2 linked regions of the Bombyx mori genome follow. The protein of the gene in region 1 interacts with the protein of each later gene in a pairwise test. Links are inferred from orthologs where the notes say so. Each region holds a gene or a part of one and is shown on either strand. Other genes may lie near its edges.

The links.
Region 2: the proteins of poly [ADP-ribose] polymerase tankyrase (region 1) and proteasome inhibitor PI31 subunit interact in binary tests that used the Drosophila melanogaster proteins (3 or more experiments, as listed by UniProt). The link is inferred for Bombyx mori from reciprocal best matches to the Drosophila melanogaster genes Tnks and PI31.

The regions. Positions count from the first base shown.
Region 1 is NC_085130.1:10,972,397-10,984,428, forward strand, and holds the start of poly [ADP-ribose] polymerase tankyrase, read left to right. Parts: upstream 1-163; 5' UTR 164-305; coding exon 306-495; intron 496-3,889; coding exon 3,890-4,030; intron 4,031-5,003; coding exon 5,004-5,087; intron 5,088-6,222; coding exon 6,223-6,318; intron 6,319-8,026; coding exon 8,027-8,234; intron 8,235-9,281; coding exon 9,282-9,426; intron 9,427-10,187; coding exon 10,188-10,296; intron 10,297-11,475; coding exon 11,476-11,576; intron 11,577-12,032. UniProt on the Drosophila melanogaster protein: Stimulates proteasome activity, probably by ADP-ribosylation of PI31. Modulates 26S proteasome assembly.
Region 2 is NC_085111.1:15,236,601-15,249,222, forward strand, and holds the start of proteasome inhibitor PI31 subunit, read left to right. Parts: upstream 1-5,929; 5' UTR 5,930-6,123; coding exon 6,124-6,267; intron 6,268-7,724; coding exon 7,725-7,874; intron 7,875-8,882; coding exon 8,883-9,066; intron 9,067-10,262; coding exon 10,263-10,353; intron 10,354-11,161; coding exon 11,162-11,302; intron 11,303-12,622. Other genes in the region: kinesin-like protein KIF13B, read right to left, coding at 907-994, 3,311-3,365.

The sequences.
Region 1 (12,032 bases):
ACTAAATTAACAGAAGTGAAAACCCTAAAAAGTTTTCAGTAGCTCAGTAATAACTAGCCTTCGCATTGCAATGAAATATTTTCGTCCCACATACATAACGTAAACATCACAAATGGACGAAATTAGCACAAACATTGTTATTTTTAGGGTAATCAAATCTAAATATAGCAACACCGGATTAAACCTTAATGTCATAAACGCAGTCAAGCAGCTGTATCGTACGTGTTTTGTGTGAAAAAAATCGCGAAAATGTACAAATACAGCCATTGTTTTTGTAAATATTAAATGTGAAACCATATAGCAGCATGTCGAGCCGCCGTTCGATGCTCGGTTCGGCGTTAGATGCTCTTCCGGCGCCCACGGATCCCTTAAGGGAATTGTTCGAAGCTTGCAAAATAGGCGATGCAGCCCGTGTAAAAAAACTAGTTACACCACAAACGGTGAATGCAAGGGACACGGCCGGACGTAAATCAACGCCTCTACATTTCGCTGCAGGTATTTATCGTTAAAATCAATATTCGCACATTGTGGTTAAAAAATACAATAATAATTGAAAATAAAGTGAAAGTATTGCGGGTAGTGTGAGAATAAAAATGTTTATAAGTAATTGCATAATTAGTCACGGTTTTTGATTACAGTATTTCGTGTTCTATGGATAATCACGTTTTCAATACTGACTGAATTGAGTTTCGTTACCTTGTATGAGTGACAAAAAAAAATTGTCTGAAAGTTATGCTCATAATGAAACATTAGATTTGTTCTATTCCAACAACACGAATGTAACATTAGTCCTATGTGAATTATTAACAGTATTGTTTAAATAAATTAACAAATTGTTGGACTTGTATCATTGTTAACACTGCAATAGTATGCATATGAAATCGCCTCAGAATATTAATAAAAATTTGACCCAGTTTCTGGATTAGGGTTGTTTATATTGGCCTCTCTAGCCTTCGAAGGAGCAGTTTCAGAACACGGTCTACAACTAAATTATGTAGTATAATAGATGTCCCACTGCTTCATGGTTGAAATATGATGAATAATGGTACTAATGCATGTCATTTTGGATCCTCCTGATCCACAATCATTGCTTTTATGTACCTCAAGTCGCAGTCACTGTTCTCGTCGAACCTGTCTCTTGCAACAAAAGCTTTGGTGAGCAAAGTGACCCTCAGACACGGCTGACTGTGTTTCTTGCCAGATCTGAGTAGGTCTTCTAATCTGGGAGTGTGGATTTCTAATCTGGAAGTGGGTTTCTAATCTGGGTGGTAGAGTCTGCTAAGCACTGCTCTTACTAGAGCTAGTGTTAGCAATGTCCCCGTTAGAGGTCACTAGAATAGCTAGAAAAAAGTAACAACTTATGAGAGTTCAGATCACTCATATCAGTACGAAAGAAATTTCTGATTTTTTTATAGTTTTTTTTGTTCATAGAATAATTGCAATTGTCTTGACTTGTTTCAAATTTAATTTCATTAATGCTGTCCTAGAAACACTAAGCATCTACTGATCTCAGCAGACAACTTTATTTATGTCACTAATAGTATCAATAATATCTTTCCTATGCCATCAAATACATACTAGAAACATGAGTATTAAGAAAAGTAATTTATGGTACTAATCTCCAAAGTTTTCTTGTTTCTGCTATTAAAAACAGAATGGCAATATTACTAAGTAGAAGAATTTTTAAATAAACAACAATATTTTTTACATTGTTTTTATCAATCTTACTGAGGAGATCAACATGTGTTGTCTTGAATTTTAAAATTATTTACTCAAGTGTTCAAACGCAAAGCGATTTAATTAAAGATAGCCGTGTAATAAACTTTGTTTCTCTGGAGTTCAGTGGTCCCAAGAGAAACTGCATCTTATATTAAATCGTCTAACATAATAATAGCTAGATTCCGAAAATGAATTAGGTGACTTAACAAGTGTTTCTTTAAACGTAGTTTTTCATTGAAGAGTGTACAGCAGCATTTTATTAATACAGATACGGTTTATTAAATTGCTAAACTAATTTTATTTTATAAATTGTTAAAACTAAACCCCTTTTATGTATATGCGGTGGGTAAAAATGGAATAGTATATAAGTAACTTTCCCACCTATTCATTGGTAGCCTAAGGGGCTATTCCAACTTCGTGCGGACCGGTAGGTGAGCTCATGGGCTTAACCTGAGAGAATTACTAACACTAGCCCTAGCAAGAGCAGTCCTTTGCTGAATCTACTAACATAACGGAATCAAGACATGGAATTATCCGGCGTGAAACTCTGTGGGCTGTGTCTATGAGCTAATTCGTTCAACAAGGACGGTGATTGGTGCTTGAAGAGTCTAAAAGCACTGAGAGTGGATCCGGGTTTTGATAAGACATCTTGGGCGATGGTGGCTTCGCTTTGCCCCGTCACCTGGATTGGATATGTAGTACATAAGTAGTAATACTTTTATTGTACGGTTTGTACATACCTAACTGAATAAGTTGACGCGCAGTGCGTCGTCACTGTGGTATCAAATTATTTTATTACATTCTTGTATAGCAATGCACTTAGCAACACGTATTCGTTAACATGCTACCATTTGTACTTGTACAACTAACATAATAAAGGTGCTCAAACAACATACTTACTCTTTGGAAACTTCCCCTTGGAACCCAACATCTTTTTTGGTCCTTCGAGCCAGATTTGAATCAGTGACCTATGGATGCCGCGCGTCGTGCGTTGACGCGCGGTGCGTGTCAACTCATTCAGTTAGGTATGTACAAACTGTACAATTATGGTTTGCAAGCTTATTGTCACAGAACATGTCACTGCTTTGTGAAATAGCTCTATTACATAACACGCTTGATCTCAATACCCCAATAGAATTGTGTTACAGCGGTTCTACCATTCAAGTCAGGATGACTTGAAACATCCATAAAATTCAAATTCAAATTCAAAATTATTTATTTCAACTTAGATGTCAGTATGACACACTTGTTGAATGTCAAAATACAAATAACAATGTTAACTCTACCACCGGTTCCAAAAAAAGCCACAGTCCTGAGAAGAACCGGCGAAACAAACTCAGCGGGTTTTTTTTTTTTTGGTTTTTCTCAAATATTTTCTTTTTTTTAAATAAATAGCAATATTCACAATAAAAGAAAAAACAAGTCAAAAAAATACAATTAAAATAATAATAATAATAATGAAAAATGAAAAGGCCAGGAGCGAGCGCCTCATTCCCACGTAGTGCCATCTAGTAAATAATCCTTAACTTTATAATATGCCTTGTTGCACAAACGTTCCTTAATAGTTTTCTTAAATCTATGAACAGGTAGTAGTTGAAAGTTTAGTGGGATCTTGTTGAAAAGCTGTACACCCAGCCCCCTAAAAGAGTTGCTTATTTTCTTAATTCGAGCCGCCGGCAACGCAAGCCTATGTTTGTTCCTAGTGTTCACATTGTGCAAATCGCAGACTCTGGGGAATTCTTCAATGTTTTTACGCACGTACAATAAATTTTCAAAAATGTATTGGGACGCTAAAGTTAGAATTTTGATTTCCTTAAACTTGTCCCTCAAGGATTCCCTCGGGTGCATATTATAAATAGCACGAATAGCCCTCTTCTGCAGGATGAAAATCGTTTCGACATCGGCAGCATTGCCCCATAGCAAAATGCCATAGGACATAACACTATGAAAATAACTAAAATAAACCAGGCGTGCCGTATCTTCATTAATATACATTCGTATTTTTTTTTACCGCAAACGCTGCAGAACTAAGCCTACTCGCTAACTTGCATATGTGAGGACCCCACTGCAGCTTGGAATCAACTGTTATACCAAATACTTATAGTGTAAGTTATTAGTAAACAATTTTTATTGCATACAAAATGATGTAGTATTTTCTCAATTCTACCAGGTTACGGACGCAGGGAAATAGTGGAGATACTCATCGCTGCCGGAGCCGCTCTTCAGGCGAGAGACGATGGCGGGCTGCAGCCGTTACATAACGCGTGCTCGTTCGGTCACGCTGACGTCGTCAGGGCCCTGCTTACAGCTGGTTCGTTCTAGAATCTTGTTTGTTGTGTAGACAGCTTTGTAGACATCATCTGGGCATGCATCTGTCTGAGCCTCCGAACACCACATTGTACCAAAATCAAATTTCCGGGATGACAAATGTTAACACTTAATTATTTTTTTATTGCTTATATGTGGACGAGCTCACAGCCCACCTGATGTTAAGTGGTTACTGGAGCCCATAGACATCCATAACGTAAATGCGCCACCCACCTTGAGACATAAGTTCTAAGGTCTCAAGTATAGTTACAATGGTTACCCCGCCCTTCAAACCGAAACGCATTACTGCTTCACGGCAGAAATAGGCAGGGTGGTGGTACCCACCCGCGCGGACTCACAAGAGGTCCTACCGCCAGTAATAAAAAGTCGTATTGTAAATTGAAAGGAATGATGTGGAAACTAAACGGTGTGGAAGTTTTTTTGAATAAGCATAGCGGGTTGTATCATGAATTTACACTGCCGACCATCAGTAGATTGTGGTGCGGACAAAACTTTGAAGAATAGATTCTGTTGATTCTGTTGCCATCTCTTTAACACTTCGAACAGACCGAAGGGTCACAATGAAACACTGATGCAATTGTTTAAAACAAAAATTTTCAATAACCATTTTTTTTTCATGATTATTTTACTGAGTTGCGGAAAGAGGAACTCTTGAGTTTTCAGTTTCTTTGATCCATCAAAAAAGGATGTTTTAACAGGTTTTTTTTTCATTCTAGAAGCTTCTTATTTATATAGAATTATCTTTAGGGGTACCATCGTAATGGCATTAAGTGGTATGACTATAAAGTAACACATATAACGTGGGAGTAGGCACAGTTCTATCTAAATATAAATGTTGGACGATCGAAGTCTGACTCCTCTTGTCTTATCGATTTGAGGAACACCAGCTGCCTGGTCATGCGGGCGCAGGAAACCACAGCGGAAGCATTGAACCCAACGTTTGATGGTGTTTCTAGGAGCTCCACCGGCCGCCAGAGACAACTGGGGGTACACGCCCCTCCACGAAGCGGCTGCGAAAGGGAAAGTCGACGTTTGCATAGGTAAGTTAGTCCTTACTGGTGTCCTGAGTCTTCCCTGCCACCGGTGTTGCCACGAAGCAGTAATGCGTTCCAGTTTGAAGTGTGCCGCAGTGGGTCCACTATAGAACTGAGACTTGGAACTCATGTTTCAAAGTAGGTGGCGGCATTTAGGTTAGTCGATGTGTGTCGTGGAGTCACTATTGTACAGCAGTATGCTTAGTGCGAGTTTTTTAAACGTTCTCGATAGCGTAAAAGTTAACTCAAATTTGTATGGAGTGGGAACGTTGCTCACGTTTGCCGCCAGGGGCGCTGCTCCAACTGCATACAAATTCAAGTTCACTTTTACGCTATAGAGTACGTTAAAAAACTTGCACTAAGCACACCGGTAAGCCGTGAGATACTTCACCCGCCCAAGGGATAAGAGAGATGACGTCATAACTTTTTTTTTCTCCTACCGACGCCGAAAGTTCGGTTTTCGTGCCGCTGTACAGGGAAGAAAGTGTAACTTTTCCCCTCGCTTTACAGGGAAGAAAGTGTAAATTTTCCTCCCGCTGTATAGGGAAGAAAGAGTAACTTTTCCTCCCTGGGTACTGACAAGTGCGCATGCGCGTTAGTGTCTACGTTTGCTCTCACGCACCTAAAATTCTCCGCCAATGTTGTGGTCGGGTAATTTGCAATATTGTGTTTAGTGTAAAAGTGAAATAAACAAAAGGCAATATAATGTAATAGTGAAGTATTAAACAAAGAATATTTCATCAGACAGTTCTTATTCAATTAGTAGTAGTTTATTTAAACAGTTAAATTGTTTTTTTATGAGTATATGGGAAGTCTCCGCCCCCCTTACCCCGTCAGGGCCCCGCCCCTGGGCCCCGCCTCGGTACTCCACGAACTTTCGGCCTGGTAGGAGAAAAAATTGTATGTGCACCGCGGGAAAAAGTAGGACATCTCATCCCGCGTGTTTGCAAATTTTACACGCGGAAGGAAATGTCCAACTTTTCTCCCTTGGTGCACAATGTACTATTATTACTCATTCGATCCTACAGCCTTAGAGGTATCCTGAGCTCAGGGATGGGATTTTTCAATTTTTTTTTGTGCTGCGATCTTGAAATAGCTCGTCAATGAAGAGGAAATCAATAAGGGCCATGTAAATTTTCAGCTCTCCTCCAGCACGGCGCCGATCCGAACATCAGGAACACCGAGGGTAAGACGCCCCTCGATCTGGCGGACTCTTCCACCAGGCCCGTGCTGACAGGTATAATAATGAATTTTAATTTAAACTGACAAAATTAACCATTTGGCAGGGTCGCCATGTAATGTTGTACTTTTAATACTCTACAAGCCTCGTTTGAAGAAGGACATGTCATAGCGCTCGGGAAACACCGTGGAGGGGAGCTCATTCCATAGCCGGATGGTACGTGGCAAAAAAGATCTCTGGAAACGCACTGTGGATGACCGCAGTGGCTCCAGGTAGTATGGATGAACTCTACTCCGGTGGCGGGTGGTGCGATGGTAAAAACGAGATGCCGGTATCATCTCGAACAATTCCTCAGAACACTCCCCATGGACTGTTAAAGGAAAACGTCTTCTAGTGTGTATTCCATGTTTAATAATCATCTCAATCCTAGTTTACAATTATGAAGAAGCCTATGTTCCTGGGTGATCCGCCTTATTAGGGGGACATGCGAGATTACACCTATTAACTATGTTATATACTAAATGCTATGCTAATACTATGCCATGCTATGCTATAATGTATAAGTATACACACTTCACTCGACCTTCGAGCGTTAAGGATGTAGCGGCGGTCGCGAGCTGAGTTTGTTGGAGAAATGAAACGATACCAAGGAACAAGTGATATGCGGTCATCTAACTATAGTAGAATGATTTTGTCCGCGCAGTTTGGGTCATTAATAATCGGAGCGGTGAAGCGAGTATTTCGCTCTCTCTTCCACTCACGGGCCTTATGGACGGGCATAGTGATGCGCATTATTGTTTTCGATAAAGTTTATCGATAGACAGTGTATTTAGTTTTGTCATTTTGTGGGTTAGTGATAAAAATGAAAGTAAAATTTACTAATCGAACACTTACACCTCATATCGCCGCAGCAAGTTAACGGGAACGGCAGAAATTAACACTTTGTAACTTTTAGGGATCTATTTTAATTTCAGTGAAAAATTATTAACACATTGTTGATAACAACACGTGCAAATATTATTTTTAATAAATTCTGCCGTTTTGGTACAAAACAAAGGAGTAGCCATTGTGTCACTAAGGAAATTCAGAGAGCGAATGCATAAAAACACATATCTCTCGACATACGTACTATAATTTGCAGGAAGGTACAACAAATGACTCATAACATAACAATGTCTCACTACCCTTCGTATACCGCCCCGCCGCCTTCATTGACTCTTTTGTTTTTATCGAAAATGACGTTGCGCCCGCGTAACATTCTCACCGCCCTAGCCGGACGGGCTGATTTATGACCCAAACTGCACGGACAAAATAATTCTACTATAGAAACCCCTGTATGTACGTTTGAACAAATACATACACCAATTAAACAACCAGACAAAGAGCAAACAAGTCTGTACGTCACACGTATGGTTTGCCCGACGCGGCAATCGAACCTCGGGGCTGTGTTATGTCGGGGCTATGGCTATGCTAATCGAACTATGGGCTCCAATAACCGCTTAAAACCAGACTGTGAGCTCGTCCACCCATCTAAGCAATCTCTCTCGAACTCTCTCTCTCCCCCTCTCTTTCCCCCTCTCTTTCCCCCTCTCTTTCCCCGTCTCTATCTCCCTCTCCCTCCCCTTCTCTCTCCATCTCCCCTCTCTCTTCCCTCTCTCCATCCCTCTCTCTCCCCCTCCCCCCTCTCTCTCCATCCTTCTCTCCCTCTCTGTCCCTCTCGCACTCTCTCTCTTTTCACCTCTCGATATGTACTATTCTGCGTCAGGCGAGCATTGTGCGGCGGAGGTCTTGGAAGCGGCCCGGTCCGGCTCCGAGGACCGGCTGGCGGCCCTGCTGACGCCGCTGAATGTGAACGTACACGCTGGGGACGGGCGCCGCTCGACGCCGCTGCACCTCGCCGCCGGGTACAACCGCGCGCGGGCGCTGCGCCTGCTGCTGCAGCGGGGTGCCGACGTGCACGCCAAGGACAAGGGGTCAGTGCTCGTAGTGGGGATCCTCGTGGGGAGTTTTACTGGTGGTAGGACCTCTTGTGAGTGGAGACCCTCGTGGGGAGTTACGCGCTGGTAGGACGTCTTGTGAATCAACGTGGGTAGGCACCACCAATTTGCCTACTTCTGCCGTGGACATGTGATGCGCAGAAAGAAGATTTCGGTGGTCGATTCTGCGAAGCACTGCTCTTGCTAGGGCCGGTGTTAACAACACTCCGGCTTGAACCCCGTGAGCTCACCTACACACGTTAGGGTGAAGCTGAAATAGCCCCTCAAGGCTATCAGCATAGGTAGGAAAAAAAGAGAAGATGAATGTGACTAGGAGATGTACGGAAATGGTAGTGCATAGAAAATACATAGACAATTACAATGCCCCCATCCATCTTGAAACATGAGTTCTAAGGTCTCACTTTTAACAGTACAAGGGCTGCCCCGCCCTTCAAACCGAAACGCATTACTGCTTCACGACAGAACTAGGTGGTATCTACCCGCGCGGACTCACAAGAGGTCCTAGTAAATCTATATATTAATACGTGAAGCAAAAACTTTATATCCGTTTTTACGAAAATTGCGCGGACGGAGGAGTATGAAAATTTCCACACTTATAGAGATTATAGAAAAGAAGTGCACAATGCTAATATTTTTTTTAAATAATGCATAAAAGATTCATTAAATCAATAAAGAAAACATTACACACACTACCATGTATTTGACACAGCACATACATAAAAATATATTATTTGTTTACTGTCAATTGGGAAACTTTTGTTATTTTTTAAAGTCTTGTCGAATCGAAAATAGATTAATATTGTTTGTCATTAATATTATTGATCTATAGTGCAGTTTTGGCGAATACTGTGATAATATTATCGAAATATAATAGTGTTTGACAATAGAACCATAATAATGTTTAAATTTATAATTTCAATTAATTATAGTCGAATCTCGACTACTGCGGGGCCACTAGTAATAATTATTTTGGCAACGCAACATGACTGCAAGTGTACATAAGGTGATTTCCTTGACCCTCAGAGGCCTGGTCCCCCTGCACAACGCGTGCTCGTATGGTCACTACGAGGTCACGGAGCTGCTGGTGGGGGCGGGGGCCGATGTCAACGCCACCGATCTGTGGGCCTTCACGCCCCTGCACGAGGCCGCCAGCAAAGCCAGGCTCGAGGTGCGTGGACCCAGCCATCATGGCTACCCTATACTAATCTTACAAGATCACTAATGCTTATGGTTGGCAGCGGCTTGGCTCTGCACCTGGCATTGCTGACGTCCATGAGCGACGGTGAGCACTTATCATCAGGTGGGCTGTATGCTCGTCTGCCTACAAAAGCAATAGAAAAGTAGATCTTAGTTTCATTGTTATGTGATTCAGTGATATTGTTACTATAAAGAAACTAAAACATGGTGCTCATTGTCTTAAGACGCGCGGCGCTATTTGGGTTGCCGATGTCTATGGGCCCCGTAACCCCTAAAGACCAGGTGGACCGTGCATGTAATTTATAAAAAAATGTGTACAGAGCATGAACGAGGAAATAGTACTTAACTGTTTTTTTTTCTCGTAGTAGTAGTAGTAGTAATAGTGGTAGAGATATCTCAGATAACGTAGCGACATAGTACGCTTGCTTGCTTCTCATAGTGTGAGGAAGCAATGAGTCACGCGTGGGAGTCGACGGGGGGACGGTAGTCTCTTTCTCTCTCTCTCTCTTTTTTCTCCGTCTCTCTCTCTCTCTCTCTCTCTCTCTCTCTATCTCTCTCTATCTTTTCTTTATCCCTCTCTCTCTCTATCTTTTTCTTCCTCCCTTATATCCCTCCCTGCACCCGGGCGCTGGTGGCGACTTACGGTGCCACTTACGTGACTGGCTCGTCGCTACGTATAAATTAGTTTTATCACTGCGTTTGTTCGTGACGTTTCCGTTCTGCCCTGAGCAGGTCTGCTCTTTGTTGCTGAGCGAGGGGGCGGACCCAACCCTGCTCAACTGCCACGGGAAGTCGGCGCTAGACGTCGCGCCCACCAGAGAACTCCAAGACAGACTGGCCTGTGAGTAACTTAGGAAATAAGATCCCCGGGCAGGTGGTGGTAGCTAGTGGGTCTTACGTGGGTAGATACCGCGATCCTGCCGCGTAGGTGGAGGGCATTAGTGTGGAATAGATATGGATCGCCGGATCTTCTCAGTGGGTCGCGTTCCCGATCCGGTGGTAGATTCAGCGAAGCACCGCTCTTGCTAGGACTAATGTTACCAAATTCTCTTAGGTTGAGCCCGTGAGCTCACCTACCCATCCGGGCATAGTAATAGCCTCTTAGGCTACCAGCAAATAGGAAGGAAAAAAGATATAGACTCTAATATTACATACCTTAAGAACCATTCTTTTAAGCAAACGAATGAAAATTTTCCTCTTTTCCTCCTGGTGATCCCGGCCAGGATGCAGGAGCTGATGACGGTACAATAATTTCCCCTAATAAGGGGAAATTATTCATCAGCTCTTGACGCGCGTGCGAATTGTCAAGTTGATTGGACGTCTTGAAGTCTGTCAAAATGACGTTTCCATATTCTCTCACATAGATATATAGATGCTGGAATCTATACTAATATATAAATCTACAGTGATTTTTACGGATGTTCCGTTATAACTACTGAACCGTGCATCCGATTGACTTGAAACTTGGTATCCATGTAAAAAAACATGTACTTAAGGGATAGGCTAATATTTATATGAGTGTTGGACTCGCTACACCAGTTGCGGGGGTGTTAATGATGAGAATCTTTGTGGGGGTGAGAAAAAAGTCGTATTCAGTTTTATTTAATTCAAGAATACTCTGTAAAAATTATTTGTGGAAAATAAAGGCTTTAAACATTGTTTTTTTAATATTGTACAGAAAACGTAATTAAGTCTTTTATTATTGTTTAACATGTACTTAATGGATAGGCTAATATTTATATGAGTGTTAGACTCCCTAACAATAATGACAATAAATAATAATGTTAATTTTAAATGCCCAGCGAAGCGGGCGAGTACGGCTAAGTAGCTAATAAAAGTGTGTTTAAAAAAATAAGTCAATAAATTTGCGCAATCACTGATCTCCACCGTGCTTCTTTTTGTCGTGAAGCATCACGATTTTTTAATTGGACCATCGACCTCATACCTCAGAGGGGCGCCTCATATCGCCCACAATTAACCAACTGCGGTAACTCCTTAATCCGAATAATCCCCCTACCAGTCGAGTACCGCGGACATTGTCTCCTGGAAGCCTGCAGGCTCGCGGAACCAACGAGGGTCAAGAAGCAGTTGTCTTCCACGGCGATCCAGCATCAGTACCAAGTGAGTCATCTTTTCACAGCGAAGGCAATCTCTTAGCAAATAGCGGTGTTAACAAGTGACGCCATTTTGTGTATTCTTGTTGCCTTTTATAGATACTAGTGGTCCCGCATTAGTCGAAATTCGACTATAATTAATTGAAATTATAAGTCTGAACATTATTATGATTCTATTGTCAAAGACTATTGTGTCATATTTCGATAATCACATATTTTGCCAAGACTACACTATAGATAAATAATATTAAAGATAAACAATATTAACCTATTCTCAATTTGACCACAGACTATAAGCAATAACAAAAGTTTGACAGTAAATAAAGAGTATATATATTATATGTGTGTGTGTCAAATACATGGTAGTGTGTGTGATTTTTTTTTATTGATTTAATGTAATAATAATGCGCAATTTAAAAAAAAATCTTGGCATTCTGCACTCCTTCTCTATAATCTCTATGTG
Region 2 (12,622 bases), on another chromosome or scaffold:
TGATAGAGGACAGATGTACATAACTGAAGGAAAATAATTAATTCAGTTTTTTCCCCTACCCAATCATTGGTAGCCTAAACGGCTAATCCAACTATGCCGGACAGGAAATGCAGAGGAACTTGCTTTTAACAAAAAGACGTGTGGCACTCGGAGACTGCCGCGGTAAATTAATATTAAAACAACAATAAAATAAGATCCGGCGAGAAACTCAGTGGGCTAACTTTCAATGAATCTGCTACATTGTGAGTATTCCATTTTGACCGCGCACTCACTAGAGGGCGCTACATGGGATAGACACACGCCTTTGGATGTTGGTTCTAACTCTCATTCCTAGAATCAACGGTTTAGCTAGTTTATTTTTAATGCCACTCCAATCACTGAATGAGTAGTAAGAGTAGTAATAAAATTCTTCGACTAAGCGATAGAAAATGGCACGCCCAACGCATTGTAATGTGATTTTTCTATTTTACAATTCCATTTGTCGCCGATAGAAGGCGCTTACGAAAAGCTAAATCGCGCTACCGTTGTGTTACCCACGAAATTATATCACATATTTTGATAGTACATAAATCGGTGTTTAGACTTCTTACTTTAAACACTACACAAGCGCAAAGTGTGAATGTGTTGAACGCGAGCTACATAGTAGACGTAGTGAGGGGTGGAAGGTTGTTTTCGTTACGGAATTTCATGATTCCGCTCTCAAGGCCCGCGATAAAATCTATGCAATAGCTTAAAAGTCTTGAATGTAATTAAAACAATAAAATAATGTCTTTAATATCAGAAAATATCCAGATTTATTCAAAGTACATTTACGAAAAATGTATTATAATTCAACATTTTTCTAAGACATTTCGAATCATAATTCTGGACGACTAGGAACAAAATTGAATGCGTCGATTCGTTTACCTTTCTTTTTCGTGTGACGAGACTGGATATTGTAAGACGGTCTGCTGATTTTCCATTTCCACCACGCATTGTGTGCCGAGTTCGAGTTCTGTAACAAAATTTTAATGTAATGAAATTACGAGATACGAATTAGTTAAATAAGAAATCTCGTTTGTGAGTCGCTTATGAACATTGGACAATCTGAACACATAAAAACTGTGTGCATTAGAAGGCTATATTTTTTATTGATCCAAATTAATTTCTTTTCTTCAAATCAGCGGTTTACGGAAGATTAATTGATGTGTTAATTCTAACAAACTCTTAATTTGTCGTTGTATTGATTTCAGTTAAGTCGAACATCGTTCTTAGCATTCAGTGTATACCTAAATTCAGAGAAATTTGTAGTCTTGAGTTCATTCAGTGTATGTATTTTAAAACCAACCCAGTATTATTACGACATTTTTTCTTAATTTTAATATTCTGGAAACATTGGTTTCTGTGATGACGAAAATTAATAAAACCATGGGCTTTTATGGACCTTAATACTACGCCTATTGAATTGGCATCCTAAAGCTTGGTGCAGAAACATAACGAGTTCACACCTGGTCATAACATATCCTACGCGGACTTAGCGCGATCTCCTGTCGCTACTTTACTTGTATGTTTTTGTCTTATTGAATTTAGCTTTATCATCTAAGTCAAGTTCATTCACAACGAGCGTGGTTTCAAACGGTCAATACGTGCTTAATACTGTTTTATCGTCTGCGCGAAAACAAATGGACCACCATAATAATGACTTAACGCGAGGTCGACCGGCGCGTCCACGGCACGCTGCTTCCAATCCCGTTTTGCAATGTCACCTCAAATCAAACTGTTTTACTGACTCTGAATTATGTTCGGCAAAAAAAAATTAATTACAAATTTTAAATATGGTTGATTTTTAGGGTATTAGTTGTTCAATTAGTATTAGTTAAAGGTATGTTATGTACGCCATTATTGTCACATGCATCAGGCCATAAATTAAATAGTTGAAGTTATTTTCAATGTTAAATGTTTGTGATGTGGCAATACTTTTTTAAATAAATAAAAGGTTATTAGTCCTTATTTTCATCAAGCGCGTTAATTGAAGAAAAGCCAACAAGATTCTAATAAGTAAATGAATTTATAAAAAATAAAAAATAATAATGACCCCACCTACCCCGAGACACAAAGTGTAAGTCTCATGTAACTGCATTGAAATAACAGTTTAACTGGCATTCAAAAGCAAACCACATAGCTGTTTGGCAACAAAAATAAATAGTCAGTATTCAGTGGTATAATCCAGGCAGACTCTCAAGATGCTCTACCACAAATAATATTAATTACTAGGTTGTTTCCTATTTATTTGTGAATTCATGCTACCTAGCAATAACTGTACTATATAGATATAGAATAGATTACATGTAAAAAATAGATTTGAATTTGCAAACTGCCATTCTATTTACAGAAGTACTTAAAATTTATTTGCTACAATCTAATCTACATAAAAATATATAAATTTTGTAAATTGTCAATGTCCTATCACTTTAAATGTTGAATGAAGATACTGAAGAAAGGCTTTAAAAATCTAAGCAGTGTACATCTAAAAGTGTAAGTTTTATGAAATGTGTAAGTGATAAATTTTGTGCTTCTAAAGCCTACATTAACAAAGTGTCTTCCCATAAACTGTTAAAGATGATAAATATAATGTTATTGAAGGCCCTCTTAAAACCGTAGAATTCAACTTGCTGTTTAAGTTATGAATAAAATACTTATTGGTATTTGTAGCATTTAGTGTGATAAAACAAGATAGAAAGAAAGGTTTTTTGTTATTGAAACATGTTTAGCATTTGACTTGAAGCAGTTCATTGTAAAATTTACTGTTTTTTTTTTTTTGCAAAAATCTAATATTTATACTACTATATGTGAACTTACTTCTTTTTATTGTTACCTATTGATTCTGTAAATTAAAAGCTTGCACATACATGCTGATGCATTTTACTGTAAACATTTCCAAAAAAATTTAAATTTAATGTTGAGATTTTTTTTATAAAAATATTATCAGAGTGGGTTTAATAGTTTATTAGTGGTTGAAGATATATTAAAATTTTTAAAGATATATGAAAGTTCAAATTCTAAAAACCGAAAGTTTGAAATGAAATAAAATAAATGTGTCTATTGTCTACGTAACTACTTTTTATATTTGTAACAATTGATCTAGATTAGTAAGCAAGAAAAAATACTACTTTTCCTAACTAAGTGCTACCTACATAAATATTTAACTGATTACATTCTATAGTAATATTTATCGTGATTATAGAGGCCATTATATAGAGAGATAAAAGCATATACGGTCACCTGTACGATAGCGATTTCTTTATTTATATGCAATATGAAACTAACTTACCTCGCCTGTTAAAAGGACGAACACGAACCGCGACTTTTATCTTATCCGACGCCATTTTGCACACAAATTACACAAATAGAATCAAAACACAACACTTTTTTCACGATAGTAAAGAAGTTTACTGCACATATTCACCCATATTCTAGAATTACAAAATTCATTATTTCACGTTACGATCACGACGTCCCCGGAATGACACTGTCGGCCATATTGTTTTTACGAATAAATGCATGCATGTTCAGTTACTAACCGGTAACGAAAAACCGTTGTCAAAATCGTAATTTTGTGAAAATTTCAAGGCTAGATCTTAAAATAAATTTATAAAGTTACCAGTTTGATTTTCTCAACAAAAATAGTTACAAAATTATTTTCCGTTTAAAATCGGTTTTCGCAATTGGCCATTCGATTGACAGTTTTTTGGCGGGCTTTTGAAACAAATTTTAAAATAGAGCTGACATAAAAATTTCAAGAACTAGAAATTTGGTTGTTTGAGACTTATAGTCTCATATTAAGCATTTAAAAAATACTCCGTACATAAATATGTATGTATAAAGTTATGGTAGACATCTCGAGTGAAAAATGACGAAAAACGTTTTATCTTTAACATGAATGGTTTTTCTATGTTTATGTCGTAATCTGAGACTGTCTTGGAAGGTTTATTGCTATACCATAAAGACAAATAACAAGAATTAAGTAAGAGCCACTGTCTACATTTACAAGCTTTTAGCAAACTACGTTTCATAATTGACTAATTTAGTTTAATATATTTCCACGTTGTGTGTGAGGAGCTAGAGTTTAGATGCAATAAAAAACATATAATTAAACCGTTTGAATTGTGGTTTTTAACTTGTTTATCATCTTTGCACATGCACAAGTGTGAACACTAATAAAATAGTCACTAGTGACTAGGCATTGTTTCTCGGGTAAACTCAAAGAGTCCACTGAATTACTAAATTTAAACTATTTCATTGATGCTCGGTGTTGTCTTCAATTTCATTTCATATCGCTTAGTTTCATAATCAATTTCTTATTAATGCATCTCATTTTTCTTGTTCCGTTTCAGTTTTCAAATTCTTCACTGTTTTTTCATTTGAATTACCGATCCCTTTGCCTTAGCAAATAGACAAATCAAGAAAGATCTAAGGTTTAGGCGTGAGCATGGAGTTAATATGTACCTACAACGGCGTGAGTTAGCGATTTCTCTACCATAGATAATAATACACATATAAACAAGATTCTCTACTCATAGATTCTGCGTTGTATTTGTATTTAGGGATGGCGATTCTTGACGAAAAAGATCGATTTTTAAATATATTCAAATCGTAACCTAATAAATCGATTCACAAAAAACTCGAGGTCCAAAAGATCGATTCCTTAAAAATGGATTTTTTATAAGTTTGCATTTACAATGTAATATATGATATGACATAATAAATGATCTCTTATCAGTAAAATCACGGAGTTGTTTAGCTCAGGGAATTCGATAATGACAATAATCAGAGGTGGATTATCCATAAGGCAAACTAGGCACGTGCTTAAGGGCGTGTAGTTACAAGGGGTCGCGAGCTCAGAATTTTTAAACGAATTAAGAAAATAAGATATCGACGATTAAGAACTAAATGCTGATCTATAATCTAAATCTATAATAGATGATATTGCACAAGCATCGATATACTCGTATTAAGCAATATTGCGGGTTTGTTTGTATTTCATTCGCACATTAGCGTAAGTACAAGGGTCCCTGTCTACTAAAGTCTAGTGTTTGATGATACAACGTCATCGTAATTGCAAAAACAACTAGTTAAAATTTATAGTATTATGAGGGCCCTTTATGGCCGGTACAGGGGCGCCAGTAAAGTGATTGCCTAGGGCGCCCTGGACCTTTAATCCGCCACCGACATATAGAATTTTCTTTTTTTAATTATCAAAGTATCAGTTCAGGCTTAAAAGAATACATTTATTTTATAAGTGTATTTGTCACCTACAACACCGTAATATTACGGGTACATTCAACCAATCCTCTATCCTCTATATTATAAAAAATGTGTGCGTGTACTAGTGTACACACGTAAGAAGTGAAACTTGTTTATGGCCTTATTTTTCGAAAAATGATCTACATGCAACTTTCTAGAAATTGGTTAAATAAAGTTAAATTAGATAAAGTTTAAACAAAAGGATTTTATTATCATAGACATGAATACAAAAAAGTTAAATTAGATAAAGTTTAAACAAAAGGATTTTATTATCATAGACATGAATACAAAACAGATGGCGCGTAACGGAAAAAAGTGACGCGTAACCGAAAAATGTGACGGTAAATTTTTTTCCAACGCCGATAAGGAAGTTTCACTTCAATTATATAATATTATTATATTAATAAGTATTAAAAGAGATGGAATCAAAAAAGTGTAAAGTTAACTGAGTATCGAATTATCGCAAAAATATGGTCACTGATTATTTATTGGTTGAAAAATTAATTCAAATTCTTAATTGGGAATAATTTTATGGTTTTTACCAAAACTGAAAAAAATCGAATGTCGATTTTCAAGGGTGATTCACTGAATCGATTCAGAACTACATATCGATTTAAAAAAATTTTTTGGCTCGAGAAATCGTTTCTTCGATTAATCGATCTCGAATCGTCATCCCTGTTTGTATTGCATGTCTATTGCTTGAACATATGATACAAAACATAGGGGAACCATTTTTTTGAAGTTATCACAACAACTCAGCTGTCTTGAAATACTTTGAACGGATTTAACAAGTGTTTCTATCAAATATAGCTACCATAGTGGACATTTATTATAGTCAAAATGGCATCAGACCCGCTGTTTGGCTGGGATTTAACATTCAAAACAATTGAGAGGGATATAAAAAAACAGTCTGACATAATAATTGCTTTTATTCACTGGAATTTAACAAGGAGGGGTTTTCGAAGCATCGGCTTAAGTGATGAGGTAATAATAAAATCAAACAAGGAATTCTTACAATTCACATTACTAATTTTTAGTTATATACGATATAAAATGCGTCGTTTAAAACAACAAAACACGTAAACAGTATATCTACTGAAATTATAGTGGAATTAATTAATCAGCAGATTCAGCGTCCCTTCAATGATACCAATGGACCTTTAATGTTCATTTTGTTTATAAACACAAAATTTAAAATAGATTTCATTTGTATTGATTTTTGAGCCCTATTACAATAAGGTAAAGTACTGATGATCTGTTTTTTTCGTCTCTTCAAATTAGAATGTATCTTTCGAAGGTAATACCTATGTTCCACTAGATCGTGAGTAGTGTCCATCATCTTTGGACAGGCCAATGCCAGTGCTTAAACAGCAACTTGGCCATGCCCCTGGCGTTGCTGACATCCATGAGTGAGGGTAACCACTTACCATATGTTGGTGGCGCCTACTAAGGCACTAAATTAAAGCAAGCTCTGCTAATTACTTTTCTAAACTGATATATCCGAGCTCAAAAAATATGTGCTTTACAAGTAGTGGAGAAAAGCAAAAGAATTCAGAAGAAGAAGGCTGACAATGTCATAGCGGAATATAATGAGTTTATCTCTAATTATACTTTGTGAACTACAGCATTATCCTCATCACATTGGTAATCCTTAATATTGAGGGTTGTGGTCTTCCTTAATTACTCTCTTCTGGAATATCCTGTGCTAGCTCTGCCTATCCTTAGCTGTGCTATATATTACATATACAACATTACAGACATTCAAAAAGACTTGAAAGTAATGACTTTTTTTTGTGTGTGCAGGCTAATAATAATGTAAAAGTCAAGCATAACAAACAACCTGAATACGAAGTCCAAAGAGAATTTGACCTAATTCAAAAGTTTTCTGACAGTAAATTAGGTTACGCTGTATAACGAGACTTAAACAGTGCTTAATGTGCTTATACTTAACAAAATACAATCAAATACATAATTATATGTATATCTTTTATACATAAGTAATCATACACAATCAATGTATAAAACGAAGTGTAAATGTAAGGGCCAAATAAATAAAACAAATGACTAAAAATGTAGGAAAACTTTCGTCCTGTATCTTTAGTTTTTAATATTATAGATGTGCCAAAAATCTGTTTCTATAAATATCACTATAAAATATCCTTGCAATTTTTTTATGAGGTCTGATCCAAACAGTTAATGTTATCTGAGTAGTCACTAACTATAATGATTTGAATCTTAAAAGGGAGATAGCATGTGATTTATGAAATACCATAACAATACAATACAATGCTGAGACCAAGACATGCACTATTATTTTTGTAAATAAACAGTAATCTGAAATTTTGATAGAATTTTAAACAATTTAATAAATAATGCTTTTATATTTAAAAAAATGAACAAGAATTTACTGTCGTTTAAAGCCATTAAATATTTCATTTCAGAGAACAATCACTGGCGATGAACCTAAAAGTGAGCTACTTCCTGAAGGATGGAACGACACTGAGAACTACAGAATAAGATATGTTCTCGAATCTAAACTCTATATTCTACATGGCTTAAACACTGATGGAAATTTAATTGTAAATTTAATGGTAATTATGAAACTAGTAACAAGTTTTATGTTACACTCTTCTGAGTTCTAAAATAAGTTACATGCTTCTGAGCATTTATGAATAAACTTCATGTTTAATAATACAAATGACATTCAAAAATCTAAAGGCTTAAAGGAATAACATGAAATAATAAAAATCAAACACGCGTGAAGTAAAATTGAGAGCCTACAAGAATAGGGACCATCAACCTGTCTATTTCTGCAGTATAGCAGTAATACATTTTGATTTGATGCTGGGTGGGTGGCTGTATTTACAAATTTTTATATTTATGGGCTCTGTTACATAACTAAAAGAAAAAACAGTTTTCTCAATGCTGACGATAAATATTAGTAAGTATTAAAAATTAAAATCAAACTAGGCAAAAATATTGAAACGATATAGAAAGTTTCTATGATGCTATTTAAAAGATAACAAATGTTTTAGTTAGAAAATGTAACTCAACATATGATAACCAACTATCTAATAGATTAGTAGATGTGTCCCTAAACTTCTTTTCAATCTATCCTCTATCTAGTGCATTAAAAAATCACACCATGCTACTGCAGATAACTGGTGTAAATTAGTGATCCATTCTCCAATACCAAAGGTTAATAGTTTACAAGTAACAATAAATAACTGTAATGTATTAGTGAGGGTACCTGTTATTTTTTTAATAAAAGGATTGCTAAGTGCAGTTTGTATAAAAATAGACATCACTAAAGTATGAAAGGTCTATGACAGACATCTAATGAACTCACTTGTTACCAAACATGTGTGCTTAAGTTCATAATAAAATAATAAAACATAATAATAACATTCTTCTGTCATTAATGTCTTCAAGTCTAGTAGTGTATGTAAATGAATGTTGTGAGAGTTGGTAAATCACCTATCTGTTTTCCCTTTTCTAATTCATGAATTCTTTTGTCTTCATCAACCCACAAATTCCGTATTGATGTTGTCTCTTATGAAGTTCCACATACGATTAACAAAATACTCAACTCTGTACAGAGATCTGAAGACCTTGCTGTTACGAACATAGGTGTAAAGATAGACGAAATACTGAAAGAATCAAATGGAACCATAGACGTCATGATGCCGAATTACAAAGATTTCATTTTTGTTATAAAGCGAGATCTAATTGATAGCATCACAGACAAGCCAACAGCTACTTCGGAAACACAGACTGCATCAGGTAATTTTTAAACAAAATTTTTGTAATATAAGTTTTCAGCCTTATAACTGCTCATGCTTTAAGTAGACTTTAGAATATAAAAAGTGTGCAATTTGGCTGATTTTATCACAGCTCCTTCACTATTCTACACACTTGATTTTTAGATAATATTAAAAATTTGGTTAGCACATACTAAACGTAGAACTTAGAGGAAAAAATTAAATTAATGTTTCAAGTTTTTGTTTTAAATTTACTCTTCTTTCATAATAGACTTTTTGTGTCAAGTAGAAAACACATTCATGATTATTTTAGATTGCATGGCACATCTTATAAACATCACAAAGCATTGCCACTCCTATGAAAACATAAGGTTTAAGTTGCAAAACCACTGACCATTTAATTGAGAGACTACTGCGTATCAGAAATAGGCAGAAAGATAATACTCGCCCCTCTCATATTGCCATACAAAAATTTAACAACCATCACAAGCAAATTTAGTATTATGTATTTATGTCGAGTAAAAATAAAAAAATGTGAATATCCTATTTGCCGTGCAAAAGATATTCAGTCACTGCTGTTTCAAGATTATAACATTTCTTGTACAGACGCTTGAACGTGCTTATGGCCCAGTTGATGATAAAGGACTACCGGTGCCTATAGATATATAAATTTCAGTACTGCCACTCACTGTGACACACGATTTTCTAGTTAACGGTCTGTAGTTTTAATACAAAAGCTATCCTACTCTTTAAATCAAAATACGTGATTGTTTTGCGACAGATATAAGCTGGAGGAAATTTACACAATATTATTCACACAAATTGCTCGTGAACACTTGTTAAGTATACTTGGTAGCTGCATACAGGATCTGAATCCTGGCTTGGAGTCACATACTCCGAGAGTACAGTGTGCGTCTGTTCCGTAAGCTCATGACGACTTCAATTAAACTCAATCTTCCATTTTAATTCTGTAAATAACATAAGAAAATAAGTGGTTAAAATTGCTCAATAAAATAAGGGAGCATGTAAAATTAAATGTGCTATTTAATTATTAAATATTCAATAAACAGCTACAGTATGCATTCGACCATTTCGACTCCCATTTCATTTAGTTTTTTTTAAGTTTGACTGTAGTCAGCTTATGGTCCACCTGAAATTCAATGTGCTGATTTACGTGACCGTATTTTTATCTCAAGGTCAAATGTTTAAAAATTTCAGATCATTCAAACACTAGAAGGCCTTCAGATGATCCACTGAGAATTCCTCCCAGACCCAGACCCGGAGTTAATCCCGATTCACAAGATCTATGGTAAAGAATGCTCGGTTTCGGGGGCTAGTGGCTCATCTTTTGTACCCATAATTAATCTAAGGTTGATAGTATGAGTTCGAAATAATATATTTCTATTACAGTTGTTTGACATAATATGGGTATAAAATAGGTTTATACACGAGCTTGCATTTGGCAGCTGTTGAAGATTTATAGTGTTAGAGCAATATTTTCGCATCAGGTGGAACATAAGGGCCAATTTCTCCTTAAGCCATGACCTTCCTTCGTTCGTGAACCTTGTGTGCGCGTCTTAATAGTTTGCTGTATTGTATATTCTGCTCTATGCTTGCGTAGATTCAGCTGCCAATGATTTTAATCGGGTCGTAATACAACCTCTGTTTTGAAACTGTTCCACGTTTTCATCATTACAGATAAAAATTAATTTAAACTCGTTAATACAGACATAGGATACGATTACAATAAGACCTGATTGTAATATAATTACGGATTTTCCTTTATAACCTCTGAAACAATATTTTTTTATAAAATTTTATACATAAGTATATATCGATATGATCTTTATCATCGCAACTTTTTTAGTAAAAACGTGGAAGAATTTTCAAAATTCGGTCTTAGCTTTAATGCCTCATTTCGATTATCGGGGAAAAGTTCATTTATCACGCATTTTCAGAATTTGCTTCTGTATTTAAAAAAAACTTAGAATACTATGGTTTCTCTGCTTTAATCTAATCTGTTTTTGGTATGCAGCCCCCGGGATGTGTACAAACGAGTTTGCCAGTAGTAAATATTAGTTAAATGAGTGACAATTATTAATTTATTTTTCATACAGGGCAGTTCCTCCTGGCCGTAACGTTGGCCATTCAGATCTCGATCCGTTCTCTCCTTTCGGGGGTGGAATGATATTTAACCCGTTTGCTCCACGTCGAGACATTGAGAACCCAGGCCTGGGTGTTCCAGGTGGATTGCCAAGGTTTGTGTAAAAATCTTACATATCTGAGATTTTTCATTAACAACAAGATGAACAGATGAGCATCTAAATCCGCTCACATGACTATGTCAGTTTACCATCAAAAGGCTGTAAACAATAAGTACTCTTGAAGACCTTCTTTGATTTATTTCATACGCTTCTGGTTGACACAGATACCTTTTACAAAAGTTGAACAACCATGAGCCCATAGAGACCAGATCGTATGTGTTACTGGTGTCCGTTCCCTCAGACCGTATTCGTTTGTATTCTAAGAACGATCACCTTCATTATTCTGAGATATGAATACTTGGAGACAGAAATAGACAGGATTGTGTAAGCCACTAAAGCGGGCTTACAATAACTACACCTACTTTTAGTAAGCACCTCTTATGCAAATCGTATTAAGTCGTCGTGGCCTAAAGGATAAGACGTCCGGTGCATTCGTATGTAGCGATGCACCGGCGTTCGAATCCCGCAGGCGGTTACCAATTTTTCTAATGAAATACGTACTCAACAAATGTTCGCGATTGACTTCCACGGTGATGGAATAACATCGTGTAATAAAAATCAAACCCGCAAAATTATTATTTAAGTAATCACTGGTGGTAGGACCTCTTGGGAGTCCGCACGGGTAGGTACCACCACCCCGCCTATTTCCGCCGTGAAACAGTGATGCGTTTCGGTTCGAAGGGTGGGGTAGCCGTTGTAACTATACTGATACCTTAGAACTTATATCTCGAAGTGAGTGGCGCATTTACGTTGTAGATGTCTATGGGCTCCAGTAACTACTTAACACCAGGTTGGCTGTGAGCTCGTCCATCCATATAAGCAAAAAAAAAAAAAACAAGCAATGACTCAAATTGTTGTTTTTTTTAAATAGAAATAGATTAGGCGACGGTCGCCAATACTACCAGTACCTCTAGCATTAGTCAACAACGAAATAATTATTTTAAATTTCGTACAATGTAATAGTTGCTACTACTCTTTTGAGCCTGCGCGGGTAGGCACCACCACTCTCTGTCGTGAAGCAGTGATCAGTTTCGGTTCGTTCGGGGTGGGGCAGCCGTTGTATTGTAAAACTGAGACTTACTCATGTCTGCAAATAGGGGTGGCGGCTTTTACATTGTTGTTATCTATGGGCTCTACAACCACATAACATAAGATGGATCGTCAGTCTCTTAAAGGAAAAAAAACTTAAGTACAAAAAATATGAATTTAGTTCTTATCTTATCTTTATGCGATTGTTTCGTTTTATAATGAAAGTATTTCAAACAATAACAATTATTTTTGGAATCACAATAGCTCTTAAATTTTTTAAATAAT